4 linked regions of the Bombyx mori genome follow. The protein of the gene in region 3 interacts with the protein of the main gene of each other region in a biochemical or structural test. Links are inferred from orthologs where the notes say so. Each region holds a gene or a part of one and is shown on either strand. Other genes may lie near its edges.

Region 1 (4,134 bases), on a different chromosome or scaffold from region 3:
ACTGACATTGTCTCCTGGTTTCAACAAATTATTGTAATCAGAAGTTGGATTTAGAATAGTTACCTTTGTACCTTAAACTTAACAACAAAAATAACAGACAAACAAAGGAATTAACTGGAGATGATCTAAAAACGATTTCTTTTTTGGGATTGTAACAAAAACTTACAGTACTAGCTTGCGGTGCTGAGAAACCAGATGTAGGTGTTGAAAAACTAAAGCCAGCTGTCGTTGATGCCGGCTTCCCGAAGCTAAAACCTGTATTTGCACTGGAACCGAATGCTGGGGCAGCAGCTAAAACAACATGTTCATACATTTCCTTTTCTTAAAATTTCTGTTCACTTTATTACTGATGCAAGCAAGACGTACTGGTGAAGTAATTATAAATTTCGTTTGTAAGGAACAATGACTTAAAACTTTTCTGAACTTTAAGTCCAATTTTCATAATAGCAAAAGCTGAGCGCTAGTGCATTTACAAAAGCAATATTATTATCCTTTTTTTTAATTTTAAATTTATAATTATCCATGTCATCTGCCATGTCAAAATAATTATATTTGTCAATCCAGGTCTTAAGCTGTGTTACCATTATAATCGTCATTTTAGTATAATATCATTTATATATTCATTATAATAATAAATTTATAATATTATTATATTTATAACCAACCTTGTGTGGCAGGTGTACCGAATGCCGGTGGTGCTGTGGTGGTTGCACCAAACGACAGATTCTGGGCCTGTCCTGCATTCTGTGAAATATTCACTAGCATTACAAGGCATTAACACATGCAAAGGAGCACAGTGAACGACATATAAGAGTTATGTAGAATGTAAGCATTCTCGAACTAAGAAAGAAAAGATAAGTAGAATGTAAGCATTCTCAAACTAAGAAAGAAAAGATATCATTTTTTTCACAACAATTTAACAATGGCAGAACATTGTTTTTTTTTTTTTTTATGTCTTAGATGGGTGGAAGAGCTCACAGCCCACCTGGTGTTAAGTGGTTACTGGAGCCCATGGACATCTACAACGTAAATGCGCCACCCACCATGAGATATAAGTTCTAAGATCTCAGTATAGTTACAACGGCTGCCCCACCCTTCAAACCGAAACGCATTACTGCTTCACGGCAGAAATAGGTAGGGCGGTGGTACCTATTCGCGCGGACTCACAAGAGGTCCTACCACCAGTAAAATTTACAAATATAACTGATTTTTTTTCCACTTAATTTGGTGAAATGCAAAATACAGTATTGATCGATAAACGCAGCTGGAGACATCACACCAAACTGACGAATAGTTTGTTTAACAGGCTCCCAACAAAATTACTGTACACACCTGATTTGTTGCTTGCCCAAAGGCAGAACTGCCAACTGTCTGATTAGGAGGTGAAGTGAAACCTCCAAAGGGTGTTGGCTTATTCGCTCCAAAGCCTGCAGTTGTAGTCGTTGTCGATGGAGATGAAACTGCCATACAATACATAAGTGTGAGAGGCATTTGTTATGAGTAGAATGTTTTTCGTAATGTTTGATGTAAGCCTCTTTTTGAGCAGGTAGGTTCTCATTGTCTATAAAGAGTAGGGCAGGAAAGGTTCAAGGCTCTTACATTTTGTGATTCAGTAGTGTGGTGATAATTTTGATTAAGCACTATGTTATTTTGTTATTTGTAGGTCAATTCTATTTTAGTGTTAGATTCATTCCTGGAGTTTAATTTAACTTTAACTTGTATGAAAATTGTATTTAGAACATAGGATCTGAGTGTAAATAAATATTTATGAAATATTGATCATTTAAGAACCCCTTTGAGGGATAATTATAATTTTTTAAATAATTTTTCACATGTCAGCTAGGAGTGTTAATAGTTGTTTAAATATCTTTTGCATGTCTTTTGGCTATGGTTTAATTACAACCATACAGTATATTCAGCGTTAAGTAAACAAAGGCCATTACTTACATGGTGAAGGTGCTGCATTTGTTGTTTTAGCACCAAATGCAAAACTGCCAAATACTGGTGCACTTGTTGTGGGACTAGTGAAGCTGAATGTTGCTTTGTTTTCTGAGAGATTAAAAATATTATTTGCATTTTCTATATGCTTTTGGGATTCGATTCATGTTTGGATATCTAATGAGTGTACTTCATCTTTTCTGAAAATATCCATGTCTCTTGGTTTAAGAAACCAGCACCACTGTTAATAAATCTTGATTTATTAACAGTGGTGCCTTAAATTCCCTTAGTCCCTTAAATTTTTACTGTCTATTTTTGTTACTTGTAACAGAAAAATTCAGATTTAAAATATCGCTTGTATTTGTTACCGGAAGTTTTTGTACGCATCGTACCTGTGTTGGATCCACCAAATAACGGCTTTGAAGCGTCACCGCTGCCAAATGAAAATCCTGTAATTACATCCAATTAATTAATTTTTTGATCTTAACGTGAAAAAAGTGTGGTTATATTGTTTACATTGACAATTTAATTATTGTTTAAAAAAACATATATATCGTAGTTCGAATCGTATTGTAGAGTATTTCAATTTATAAAGCTTCAAATTGGAACATGATAATCAAACCAAAAAGAATTTACCTGTTGATGGTGTTGGTGTACCAAAAGTATTAGACGACGTTGTAGTAGTTCCAAAAGAAAAACTCATTTTGTAAACTATAGATAAACTTATGTAAAAGTAAAATAGTTTAAATGATGGAAGTATGTATATTTAGATATTTCAATAAATGTTTAGTAAGCACTACTGTTTGCCGCCGTTAGAAAATTTACCAACAGTAAGATTTATCGAGATATTAATCATTCGTTCAAACTTCAATGTGTCAAAAGTCACTTTTTGTTATGTCCGATCAGACTGGCAAAAGAAACGTAGCCAATTGATTTAAACTGGAATTGAAAACCTTGTGTGAGATCTCAAGCCAGGCAGATTGCAAGCATATTTTTTCCCGTGTTCTCATCGCAACCAATTCTAGAAAATGAGTGTCGGAAAGGAAAAATATATGAAAGATAATCGTGGCAAAAGAAGAAAGATAAGGCATTTAAAAGCTAAAACTATATTCTTATAGTACATAGTATAAAAAATACCTAACAATGTTTAATTACCCCATTTTTTCTCGTCACCTAATATGAATCCTAACGATAAATGTGAAACCGTAAATTATCTTTCCAATCCAACTCTCTATACTCTGTTCAATTCAAATCAATTTACTGTATGTGATTTTTAAAGGCAATCTCTTCCATACCTTTAAATCGCTTTTGATAACATCAGTTGGATGATAACAATAACAATTTTAGATGAAATCATCCATATCTTTTGCCACATCCTGAATTAAGCAAGTTTGTTCCAAAGTCGAGTTTGATGGTGTGTTCCAAAGGAAAGGAAAAAACGAGCCATCGCGGTAAAGCTTGTAGATTTGAAACATTGATATTACTTTGTACAAGTATAGATGTTTATATGGATAGCTTAGAATAGAAAATTGGTGTGGAATATGAAAAATACAATAATAAAATGAGACAGTCGCTTGTGCATGGCGATGCGTTGCCACGTCAGCAATCAAAAAAAGAGCTTAAGTAGCTTAGCATTTTTAAAGTATTTGTATATTTCATATTATTTTTATTTCATAAAACCTAATCCGCTTACATAGTAGTGGGGCCCCATTTTTTTATTTGCCCTGGGGCCCTTGGTTACCTTGTTAGCCACTGTTTATCTCGGCAGGTAGATTCGTGTTTCATGCTCGCATTACTATATCAGAACACTATTTTAATTATTTATATTTATTTTATTAAGCCACTGCTACTATTTTCGCATGAGAGTTATGGAAATGTCTAAATAAGACGTACATAACCACGACCACTCCGCTAGGAGTGTACGACTGAGAAGAAAAGAAAAAACTATCTCAGACGTGGTGTGTGTGGTTTTAAACTTTTTGAATAACAATCCATTGTATACAAGTGCACAAATATGAGGCGTAAAGTTTTCAAAGTAAGTTGACTACCTGCATACCTACCTACTTAATATTTTATCTGCCGTACTTATTCTCGTAGGTTCCATAGTGACCAATGAAGTAGGAAACCTATGGAAATGAAACGTCAACCAAAATTTCGTGCCACTGTGACGTCATCTGGCCACAAAACATGGCGGCT
Region 2 (4,224 bases), on a different chromosome or scaffold from region 3:
CCTGTGTGGCAGGGAGCTTCTGTCCAAGCAGTGGGGTTTGCCCGAGGCCCGTTCCGTGCCCCTGTAAGGGGGTACGACAACTCCTTTTATAAATGAACTTTGATGTTGCCGTAGCTTTAAATATGACTGTTGATGTGCTGAAATTGAGTGTAATGACCATGAAAATTTTTTGAAAAAGTATTTCTCATTGTTTTTGACAGACTTCCACATTGAACGAATAACATCACCAGTAGCTACGTATAATTTTTAACCTACACAGGTAGTGATGTTTGGAGGTGGAGCAGTGATACGCTTAAGATCTAGGCAGTTTCCAAATCGGCAGATGCCGAATGCAGATGCATTCACTGTAATACAGTTGAATTACGATAACCTCCTTAAAAATGTTTACACTTGTGTACACAACTACAGACTAAAAAGAAATCTATACAAGAAAATTTCAAATCTGGGTTTATTTATCCAATTTAATACATGTACTAGAATTATAATTTCTTTATAATTCGTAGTCTTTTATTAGTATAACCTATACTTTTACAATTAATCTAGAACATTGAGAACACAAAGCTTATTCATTCATATTTTAAGATAAAACTGAGTGTCTATGCACATTCTCATTAGTTATTCACTTGATTTCTTTCACATATGCATCAAGCTCTGCATCTAATTGTTCTGCAGTAGGTACTGGTCGTTTGCCTCTGCCTGCACCACCACGTCCTCTTCTGTTTCCCCCACGTGCTCCACTATTGCTTTGATTTCTAATTCCTCCACCTCCTTCAAAAATAAAATAATTAATGGATTTCTAGTAATTTGTAACTTGCAAACAGTAAAGTGAAAATGTACAACAAGAACTAGTGGGAAAATATCAGTTTTAAAAAAAGTAATTAATTTTAATAATGTTTTTTTAAATGAAGGATTTAGGGCCGGAGGCCTTTCCAGTTACACCACGAATGCTTAGCCAGAAGAGAAGGGTTTGCTAACAGTTGAACACCTCCGAAAGAGGTCTAACACAATTCATGGGCAGCTGCTTTGCAAATGAATCTACTACCAGATCAGTAGTCTGTCTATGGATTAGGTTGCACATCAAACTCTTTAGAGTTCAATGAGTATGGTTAGTGTTAAAGCAGGTGTCTAATGCAAGAGTTATTGGATCTGATGGATCCGTAATTATGTGTCTAGGACATCAACAGTTAGTCTCTGCTGTGGGTAGAAATAGTCAGCGGCAGCAACAATATGGCGATTATCATGACCAATGGCCTTATTGAAGTATCTTTCCGACAATAACTAGGTGTTTCCAGATTGATTCGACTAAGAGGCCATCTTGTATATGGTGATTTGTCACAAATCACAATGATGTAATTTGTTATCACTCCTCCCATACAAACAAATCCTGGAAAATATCTTACCTCTTTTAGGATTGTTTCGTATAGTACCTCCCACACTCGCACCACCAATTCGATTTCTAGCCTCGGGCCTTAAAGTATTGATTTCAGATGTTGCCAATTGTATATTCATTGCCCGTCCATCAAGTGGCACTCCGTTATACTGTTTCATAGCCTTCACAGCATCTGCTTTTCTTTCAAACACAACATCTGCAGTACCTAAAAAAATTTAAAAATATCTTGTATGATGAAATACTTAATGGAACAAACTAAGTTTTTATGCTTTGTGATACATACCTAAAGATCTACCTGACCGATCATAATGTACAGATGCACTTTTGAGGATGCCAAATTCCGAAAATAGTTCCTTTATATCTGAATCTGATACTCCAAAGTCCAAATTGGATACAAGCAGCTTGGTAGGACCAGTTGTTATGGTCCCACTGTTTCTTTGAAGTTTCCTCTCACCAAAATCATTGAACATATCATGTTTCCAAGTGCTGTTCACATCACCCTGAAAAGGTCATCCTTCATAGAGCTAGCCATGTGGCTACTCTCTATGCCTCCTTTGAATATAATAAAAACTCAAAGCTTAGGCACTAAAATTAATACATTGACATCTGAACCACTTGATAAAATAACATTTGATGTAGTTTACATGTTTTTTTTCGAAAATTAAAATATAGAACTGTTTTATCACTTTCATCACACAGACACAAGACTAATAAGTTATGAAGCACAACCAGTCTCAGCCGTCCATGGAGTCCATTTATTTACTTTTCAACTCCTGAAGTCAATTCTATAAATTGGTCAAAACTGCACTGTAGACATCTCCACAAAAGTAACGTTTTGCTCGAATTCATTACACTTTTATATCAGCATCCATCATAGAATTTTCCGGCAGATGTAGGTAAACAATGCAAAACAAAAACGTTGATGGAGATAACAATATGGTTGCTGGGATTATGGTTTCAAGTTGAAAATAGGTCGGATACGAATAAAATAAGGGTCTTGATTTGAATCAAAGTGTCAAATTTCGTCTAAAACTATTTCAACAAGATGGTCCATATGGTTGCTTGACTTTTTGAGAACAAATTAGATACATTGATGCGTCACATTTGCCCGCCATTTGTAATTTTAGAATCATCTAATTATTGGAATTACCCTCGAATAGTTGGTAGATTTCGTTATGCCTCCACGATTTCTACCTCGTTGTACACCACCAGAGCGGTTGCTACGAAATCCAGCACCGCCTCCACGTCCTGTTCTTTTGTTTGCATCAAATTTTCTTCCAGCACCACCTCCAATCCTTGTCTTTTTGTTGGCTTTTATAATATCATCCAGTGCCATTTCAATTTGATCAACCATGGTGATTATTTGAAATTCTAAATATTTTTTCTATGAAAATTAAGTCAAAAACAAAAACAATCCTTTTAGAACTCTTCCTTCCCAAGTAGACGGTGACAAAATGGCCGAAGAAAAGATTCGTTATTGCCAGATTGCTAATATTAGTTCAACAGTAGATTGAAAAAAATTGTTGAGCTTTAAATTTGGTAGAAATTATAGTCAATAAAGACTATCTTACACATCTGTCTTAGTTTATTTTATTTTACATTTACCAGTTGATTTGGTCAAATCTTTCTGTTTAAAAAATTAAGCGCTTAGTTTTAATCTTTAACTAGGTAATCAAATCACGTAATGCTAATGCACTCAAAATTCAAATATTAAGAAGTGTATTATTTATGGTTCGAGATTTTTGGCGCGAGGAGTGAAGTTGTGTGTTTTGTTTTATTTTGTCTATTTAGTGTTTCTCCAAGTTTAAATGTGTAATAACGGTGGTTTATAACCTGTTTAATATCTGTGAAAGTGCACAAATGTGGGAAAATTGAAACAAAGCCGCTGAGCATAACTTTTTGGGATCCTCTAAAAAGTCCACTGAAAAAGTCTCAGTAAATGACTACCATTTTACTGAGATTATATTTCATCCCATATCATCTCATCTCATTTCATTTCATTCCATTTCATTTTCATTTCATTTCATTTCATGTTATGTTTCATATTAATCAACTTCATTTCATTTCATAAATCATTTTACATATAAAAAATATATAAAAGATTACGCTTTATGGTATGATACCTTTGCCTTTCCAATAATATATTAAGTGTATAATCTATGAATAAAACTGCTACTACTATCTATGGTTCGAATTTTGAATTTTATAGTTTCCTCAAGCTTGTAAACCAATCCACAATTTAAATAAATCGTTTTTATTAAAGTATCTGTACTTACATACTAGAAGCGATTTAAAAATACTGTTATAAAAACAATATGACTGTTGGGGAAACAGGCCAAAATTTGCCATGGTATGAACTATCATTAACAATGATTTAAACAAAAAAATCATAACTCAATATATTTTACTACGACGATTAACACTTTGTTTTTACGCAGGGTTGAAAAATATCGCCCAAAAAGATTGGATGATTTAGTATCTCATGATGATATAATAAAAACAAGTAAGTATAAATTTCTGAAACTAATGATCACATTATTTTAAAGAGACTATCAAATTTAAGGCTATAAAAATTGGACTTGAATCAGGTTGATATTAAGTTGCTAACCGTAATACGAATACCTTATAACAGTTAATGCATAAACCCCCTCTTCGTACCAGTATGTTTTGTACATTGTAACATAAAGTAAAGGATTTTTCTTTTTGTTCTTCTAGAGTACTTTGTTTACATCTTAATTGAGGCAGCAGCCTTCCAACCACTACATCCCTATTTTTGTGAGATTAGGTACTAGCCCTAGTACAGTAATATATGTATTTACTGAGATTAGAATATT
Region 3 (4,259 bases):
TTTTTCAAATGAAATACGTACTCAACAAATGTTCACGATTGACTTCCACGGTGAAGGAATAACATCGTGTAATAAAAATCAAACCCGCAAAATTATAATTTGCGTAATTACTGGTGGTAGGACCTCTTGTGAGTCCGCGCGGGTAGGTACCACCACCCCGCCTATTTTCCGCCGTGAAGCAGTAATGCGTTTCGGTTCGAAGGGTGGGGTAGCCGTTGTAACTATACTGAGACCTTAGAACTTATATCTCGAGGTGGGTGGCGCATTTACGTTGTAGATGTCTATGGGCTCCAGTAACCACTTAACACCAGGTGGGCTGTGAGCTCGTCCACCCATCTAAGCAATAAAAAAAAAATAAAAAAAAAAAAAACTTAAAAATGGTTCCAAATACTGCACATCCATAAAAAAGTCTTTATCAGAAGAGGAAGATAAGGAAGGCGCAGTATTTTTACCACCTTTCCTCTTTTTGCCCTGCGTACTAAATACATCTCTGTTAGATCTGCCTTCAGCAACAATTCGTCTTATGGTAGTATTTATTTATTTATTTATTTATGTGCGTTCCCCTGACGAGTCATTGTCAGGGACATTTTTTATGCTTATTTGCTTTTTTGATAAATTTTATTTTTCACCATTTGTAATGTTAGGTTCGTATTTCGTTCTTTTATAATTTTCGTTTCTCTGCTTATTACTATAACCTGGAAAAACCAAAATCCGGTCGTCCAAGATTTTCGAGAACACTCGAAAACGTAGACAGTGTTGCCCAGTCTATTCGGGACGATCTGAACCTTTCAATTGAGAAGCGTGCGGTGGCCTTAAACGTGCACAGATCGTCGTGATGCCCTATTTTGCATAAAGATTTAAAACTGCACCCGTACAAATTCAGTTGGTGCAAGAATTAAAACTTCAGGATACTGGTCAGAGGTCAATTTTTTCCTGGCAAATTGATCTCCAGGAGAGGTGACATAAGTTGGCCTCCACGCAGTCCCGATTTGACATCTATGGACTTTTTCCTGTGGGGTTATATCAAATCCAAAGTTTACACCAACAAATCGACTTTCACACACAATTAAAAGAAAATATCTATCACGAAAGCCATCACGGAGAACACCTGCCGAGCCGTCATAGGCAATTTTAGTGCTCGATTAAACGAATGCCCTGAACGCAACGGTTTACATTTCGACGATGTCATTTTTAAAAAATAAATTCCAAAACAGTGTATTTTAATATGTAATAAACATTTTTTCAATAAACTCCTTACTTTTTTTAAAATTATATTTTTAAATATGACATTTCCTTTGAGACCCTTCCTTCGTTTTTTTTATTATTCATAAACTATTTTCAATAATTAAAACAGCGAAACATAAAAATCTTTTACTTGACGCTGGCTAATGCACAAACCGTACGGAGCCAAAAATAAAGACGAAGTGTAATCCATAGGTTATACAGGTGTATAATCTACAAATGTCGCCATCCATTTTGTTTCACATTGAAAAAGAACAGGTTTAAGATTCACAAGAGAGACGCTATTTAGTTTTTGGTGATTAATTTTGGAAATATTTGGATTGCTAATAACGTCCAAATATATAATTTAACTAACCATACTTAAAATTTATTGAGTGTAGGGTAATTTTACACCATCAAAGTTGTTTAACTCTTTTGTAATTTGCGTTGTTAATTAAAAAAAGCTATTATTCAATTATCATTGGCTTTATCTCAGTTAACTATTCTACACGCATGTGAGAAAATAAGGAAACCTTAAAGAACTACTTTCACGGTATTTGTATACTGGTGATTAAAGCTTCTTCGACACGATGCCAAAACGTGGCGGTGGAAGGAATAGAAATTGGAAGGCTGATACTGACCATTTTGGTAAGTGGAACACTTTTATTTATATTCTGTTGTGATTTTGTAGTTCCTACAGTGAATTATCAAAAAATAATGTATTCCATTGTTGTTAGCGCTACTTATGTTTAATACATAAAGGCAAAATCATGCATCATAAAGTTCATGATACCAATGAATAATATATGAGTTTTTAAAGTTATTGACTATTAATACTTGATTTACAAATGATATACTTTCAGAACACGATGACCGTGTCAATAGTGTGCCGAGACATGTCAGTTTTAAACCTGGAGCTAAAGGAAAAAATAAATTTCGAACTTGGAAAAATCCTTTAGCCCTCCTTGATGATGATATTGACATGGGTAGTTCTGCTCTTCAAGGACCGGTCCGGAAAAGTTCTTTCAGGGGACGTGGGAGAATGTACTCTCCAGCTCCGCAAGGAAGCCACGGACACACTAAAAAGAAATTTATTCCTGGTGTACTGCCTTGGTACCAAATAATCATTCCATATGGAGCAAAACATGAAAAAGATGTTATCCTCCGAGCCTTGTTGGGTTTTCTTTCACCCGACATATTCATTCCACATTACTATAAAGTCAATGGAAATGCTGCAGTATTCTATGTTGATGATGTCAAAACAGCTGAAAAACTTTATAATGCTGATAGAAAGATCACTATGTCAGATGGTTTTAAGTTAATTGTTATTGTGAGGAATGCTGTTCCAAACATGGCCATTGACGCTGCCATGAAAGAGAAGATGAAATTGACAATGGCGAAGAGGTATAATGCTACAACTAAGGCATTAGATTTAACAAAATTCCATGCTGATCCAGGTGATTGTCCAATTATATTGTTATTGCTTTACATATTCATTATTTACAATACATTCATTGCAATGTCTAAAATTCAACTTGTTAGTAAACAGCTTAGTAATACATATTATAATTTCTTTTTCATTCAATTAGAGATATAATAAGCTAGACTTTTGGGAATAATTTCTTATGGGCCCACATAAGCTATAATCTATTTAAGAGCGCATACTGGTTTGCCCTTTTATAATGCAGCAATGTAACAACAATATTTATAACCAGTTATTTTATAGAATGTAAAGACAATAGTTTTACTGGGTGAATATTGAAATAATACTATTTTTCAGATCTAGAAGATATATTTTGTGCACTGTTCCGTCCAATGATAATGTTGGCTGCTATAGATATAATAGCAGAGAATATTCCAGACATAGAAGCTTTGAACCTAAATGATAATAAGCTTCATGGTTTGCAGCATCTCAAGGTTTTGTCTTCAAAGCTCAAGAATTTGAAAATATTGTATATGGGCGATAATAGGGTAAGACAAATACATTTACGACAATTTAGACCAGTGTAAAATTTCAAATGACTGATTCATATTCATATCATCATCTTCAGTGCACATTCCTATCTAGGCATAGTTTGAATAGCCCCACAAGCTAACAGTAATTAGGTAGGATACAAAATCCCTATCTACATTTGACAAATAAATTTGTGGTTTTTTTTTTCTTTATTATATACCCCAACTAACAATCTTTGCAATTAATTTGTTTTCACATGCACTATATCTGATTGTTAAGGTAGACATTTTTCTCAATTTTGTGTAGTGTAAGTATTTTTCTACTAACTCATCATTTGCATTACATTAGTAAAATATAAAATAAATGTAGTAAACGAAAGACATCTTTAAAAATATATGAATGCTATTAAAAAACCAATAATGTACATTAATTATCATTTAAACCTTTTCCAGATTCCATTCCTTGGATCACTGGACCCAATCAGATCATTACCGCTAGTTGAGCTATACCTCAAAGGAAACCCACTGGTGAACAGGTTTCATGATCACGAAATCTACATAAGGTAACGCTAATGTTGTAGACAGTATCTTTGGGGTCACACCCCAAGATATTTTGAATATCCTATAACACAGTTTACCATTAGCGTTAAGCCATGGAAACTTGACAGCTATATAAAATCAAACTGTGGCAGTACTGTTGCTGAATTGTGCTTGTTTAAGTAGATGAAATGAGTAAAGATGTTTTTTATCATAAGTTAAATTTGTGATAACATATATTATATTCCTATACTGTTTATAACAAAATCAGTAAAATATCCCTTAATAAAATATACTTATAGTTGACTAATCTTTTTAAAAGACATAATTTTACATAGCAAAAAATTGGCAGGATAATTCCATAAAATTTCTTGGGAAATGTCCCAACAGACAATGAGCCTTCTTATTTCCATATTCCCCTGACTCACATATTTATCAGAGTATTAAAATAATTGATACAAAATAGTAACATTTAAAAATATTTACCTAGGAATAGGTCACTCACAGCATTATATGTAAAAATGGCCCAACTGTTTAGTAATCTTGGA
Region 4 (3,671 bases), on a different chromosome or scaffold from region 3:
TGCACACCACCTCAAAGATGCAGTGGAATCCACAGCGCAGTCGCATTTTCGAGGATCAGAGCGTAACACCAAACCGGTGAACAATATAGTGCCATGAACCTCCACCACACCCAACGTCCGTGATTTTTTAGCGCCCCAGCGATTTCCAATCAGGACAGGGTTTTAAAGGAATAAACGACTAAAAAGTAACTTTCATTGCGACGGCAACCGCCCCGACTCGAGATACGCTTGAAAAAGCCTCAGAGCCAGCCATCAAGGGCACTAAAGGTCAAATCCCAGATATTGAAGGCATATGCATAATGTGTAGGTACCTACCTCATGAAACTTAATATTTAAGAGAGGCTAATAAATAATTTCTCAGTATTTCGTCATATATTTTCAATAATTAGATAGCTCATTAATATTGTGAACAACCACACAAATCAGATCACTTACAGATTCTACATATTATTATTATTAAAGAATCTTAAGTTACAACAACCCATTTTCTCCATTGCTTCTTTTATTTATATGATGAAGTAAAATCACGATCTCATTTTTTACACTTTATTTAAAAAGTATCACCACAATTCAATTTTTCAGTGAAATATTGTCAGTCCTTGCATGTAACAAAAGTAAGAAATAATTTCAAGATTATAATATTATGTGTGTACATGCTATTGGTTTACAAAGAGTTATCATACAAATTTGTTTACATGTGTATTATAAATAACAGTGACCAAATAGGCATTAACACATATTGGGCAATCAATGCAAAATGTTTTTATGACAACTGTAACAAAAATGAACTACACATAAATAATACTCATATTTTTGTTGCCTTTCAATATAAAAGTTTAGAATTACAGTTTTATAAAACTCAAACTAGAGGAGCTACGTGTTAAATTATCTAATGATTTTACATTAATTAAAGCAAATGATTGAAGGTTTAATAAGTTATTAAAATAATGTTCATTTGCGATCACCTAATGGAATGAAAAAATTTAGTGTACGCTACACTGAACACATTTGCATGATCCTCCAATCACAAAATGGGCACTGGGTACATCCGTTGATCATATTTATAAGTCTTCATCTTCCTCAGGAAGAGCAGTATTTTGTGCATCTTGAAGATCTTTTTCAATTTGGTTCTGCCATTGAGGATCCATTGTAACTTCTGGTGGCAGAAGGGCAGGCATGGCAACAAACTCAAGGTTACCGTCACCAATTAATTTTCTAGCTAGCCACAGGAAGGGTTTTTCGAAGTTGTAGTTTGACTTAGCAGAAATGTCGTAGTACTGAAAAAAATAATCAAGTTTGAAACAAAAATAATTACAAAGAATTTTAACATTTTGCCTTAAAATTAACTCTTAAATTGAATGAAAATAGTTTTATTTACCTGCAAATTCTTTTTCCTGTGGAAAACAATAGTTTTCGCCTTAACTTTTCTGTCTTTAATATCCACTTTGTTTCCGCACAAGACAATAGGGATACCTTCACATACACGGACCAAATCTCTATGCCAGTTAGGTACATTTTTGTACGTAACTCGAGAGGTTACGTCGAACATGATGATAGCACATTGTCCTTGAATATAGTATCCGTCTCTAAGACCACCAAACTTCTCTTGTCCGGCTGTGTCCCACACATTAAAACGAATTGGCCCGCGGTTCGTATGGAATACTAGAGGATGTACTTCGACACCCAGAGTCGCAACGTATTTTTTCTCGAACTCTCCAGTCAAATGTCTTTTGACAAAGGTTGTTTTGCCAGTACCACCATCTCCTACCAATACACACTTGAATGTGGGCATATCATCTGCCATTTTCGTTGTTTTATTGCTATTTTACTTCTGAAACAATGTGGTAAACTAAAATTAGGATATAGCCATAGAATGTTCTATGACGCACGGTTGACAGGTCGTTTCAATCGATCGTTCACTAGGTTTCGCGGAATACAAGAAATAATTCAACACTTTAAGCAGATTAAATTCATCACTGGGTACATAAATTGTGAGTTTGAATGAACTTGACAACTTGAATTTGTTTTAACTTTTCGGCGAATGGCGCTCAATCACTCTCATAGGAATTTAGCTCGAAGGTACCGAACTCTAAAGAGAAAAACTGAAAAACTACAACGCCAATAATATAAATATGGATATCAGTTTATTGGCAGTTTTTTATAGAACACAAACAAATAATTTTTTTAAAGGCTTTACCGTGATTGTATAAGAAAATCGAGATTTAACTCGTTCCAAAGCAAAGTCGTTACGGCTCACAATGGCGTCACTTGACTAAGCGGAAGATTACATACAATGACAATTTTGACATTGACAAGCACAGTGAATTAAGAGTCAGTGTGAGGTCTTTTTAAATTTATGAAAGCCACGTAAAACTATTTCAAATGTTTAAAAAAATATTAATTTGCATTTTATATACTAACCTTTCAATCAGATATATTTTGTAAATGAGTTAATTTCTATTTGGGTAACAGTATTTAAAATTAATAATATAAGCCGTATAATGCGCTGTTTTGACTACAGGGTATTTGACGTCACTGGTATTTCGAAACCACTACGCCCCCTATAGCTTACAAATTCAAACATTTTATATTCAACATTGCCATCTTAGTGGTTTTGCCAACAAAATTGGCAATTATGACTCCCAAAAAAATATAGCATAAAGCTTATTTTGTATTAATGGTTTTGTATTAATTTTCTATTTTAATTTGCTCATCATGAGTGCCATTCATGAACACACGCTATACACAAATTTTCTTTCAATAAGAAATGGTAAATGCCCGCGGGAATTCTATCGGCCACAAAGACTTCGTAAGATCGTCTTTTTCCTCTTTACACTATTAAAATTTTATAAAATCACTCTTGCTTCTCGATGGATTTTTTCCATCTTCGGCCTTTCGATAGATTTTCGAACGAAGAAGAACAAGCAACTATTCTTCTTCGTGCAAAGTTTCTTTCTGAGATCCTTCCTATATGAATATATCGTTGCTGAGTTTCGTCTTGCGGCCTTCTTAAAACGTACTCCTCTTTTAATTTTAATGAGCCTGGTCGCCATACTATATCCATCTCACAATCTTCATTTCACAGTAGCGCACGAAGCTTATAAGTTGTTTCTTAGCATGTGTGCCTTGTTTTTTTTATATTTAATATTAGTGGATCCTAGAAAAAAATTATGGCAACATTAAATTTGACAGCATGAGACAGGTAGCGAGTGTAGCGACCAGCGATAAGTGAAGTTTTGCTCGTCTGAACGTTTTGTATGGTATCGATTTTTTGAGTGAAGTGAACGTAGTGTTCGTGTCCTTTAGTTTAGTGACGTTTGTTAGAAAAATATCTTTGAATGGGATTGTGTAACGAGAAAAAACGTTTACTTGGTGCGTGATTCTCTGTAAAGGATGACGAAGGACAGGTTAGCGGCGCTTCAAGCGGTAAGTAGATTTGTAGTTTCTCTCTTCTCGCACATCTAATGGTCTTGCCGATGACCTCGAATTCATGATGAAATACCGATAATAAGGTGCCTATCGTGAGTTTGAAGGATATTTTCATAGTTTCTTCTTTTTAAGAACTACACATCTTTGGACAAACCAAATATACGAGGGTTCTTTATTCTGGTCGCCCCACCCCGTACTCGACTTGGATGAATGATAGCTGTCATTCATGCGAGACATTTGTT

What was found.
Region 1: the proteins of nuclear RNA export factor 1 (region 3) and nuclear pore glycoprotein p62 form a complex in vitro, tested with the Homo sapiens proteins (3 studies listed by BioGRID and IntAct). The link is inferred for Bombyx mori from reciprocal best matches to the Homo sapiens genes NXF1 and NUP62.
Region 2: the proteins of nuclear RNA export factor 1 (region 3) and ALY form a complex in vitro, tested with the Homo sapiens proteins (2 studies listed by BioGRID and IntAct). The link is inferred for Bombyx mori from reciprocal best matches to the Homo sapiens genes NXF1 and ALYREF.
Region 4: the proteins of nuclear RNA export factor 1 (region 3) and GTP-binding nuclear protein Ran form a complex in vitro, tested with the Homo sapiens proteins (2 studies listed by BioGRID). The link is inferred for Bombyx mori from reciprocal best matches to the Homo sapiens genes NXF1 and RAN.

Annotation. Positions count from the first base shown.
Region 1 is NC_085134.1:6,717,906-6,722,039, reverse strand, and holds the start of nuclear pore glycoprotein p62, read right to left. Parts: upstream 2,819-4,134; 5' UTR 2,642-2,818; coding exon 2,575-2,641; intron 2,388-2,574; coding exon 2,331-2,387; intron 2,050-2,330; coding exon 1,948-2,049; intron 1,461-1,947; coding exon 1,333-1,460; intron 745-1,332; coding exon 666-744; intron 292-665; coding exon 167-291; intron 1-166. UniProt on the Homo sapiens protein: Essential component of the nuclear pore complex. The N-terminal is probably involved in nucleocytoplasmic transport.
Region 2 is NC_085114.1:10,512,172-10,516,395, forward strand, and holds ALY, read right to left. Parts: upstream 2,802-4,224; 5' UTR 2,745-2,801; coding exon 2,541-2,744; intron 1,891-2,540; coding exon 1,674-1,890; intron 1,596-1,673; coding exon 1,401-1,595; intron 769-1,400; coding exon 620-768; 3' UTR 516-619; downstream 1-515. Other genes in the region: replication factor C (activator 1) 5, read left to right, coding at 3,706-3,740, 3,829-3,893. UniProt on the Homo sapiens protein: Functions as an mRNA export adapter; component of the transcription/export (TREX) complex which is thought to couple mRNA transcription, processing and nuclear export, and specifically associates with spliced mRNA and not with unspliced pre-mRNA.
Region 3 is NC_085124.1:4,529,746-4,534,004, forward strand, and holds the start of nuclear RNA export factor 1, read left to right. Parts: upstream 1-1,426; 5' UTR 1,427-1,811; coding exon 1,812-1,869; intron 1,870-2,084; coding exon 2,085-2,678; intron 2,679-3,001; coding exon 3,002-3,192; intron 3,193-3,627; coding exon 3,628-3,737; intron 3,738-4,259.
Region 4 is NC_085116.1:5,374,863-5,378,533, reverse strand, and holds GTP-binding nuclear protein Ran, read right to left. Parts: upstream 2,274-3,671; 5' UTR 2,198-2,273; intron 1,832-2,197; 5' UTR 1,805-1,831; coding exon 1,379-1,804; intron 1,278-1,378; coding exon 1,062-1,277; 3' UTR 533-1,061; downstream 1-532. Other genes in the region: syntaxin-1A, read left to right, coding at 3,394-3,426. UniProt on the Homo sapiens protein: GTPase involved in nucleocytoplasmic transport, participating both to the import and the export from the nucleus of proteins and RNAs. Switches between a cytoplasmic GDP- and a nuclear GTP-bound state by nucleotide exchange and GTP hydrolysis.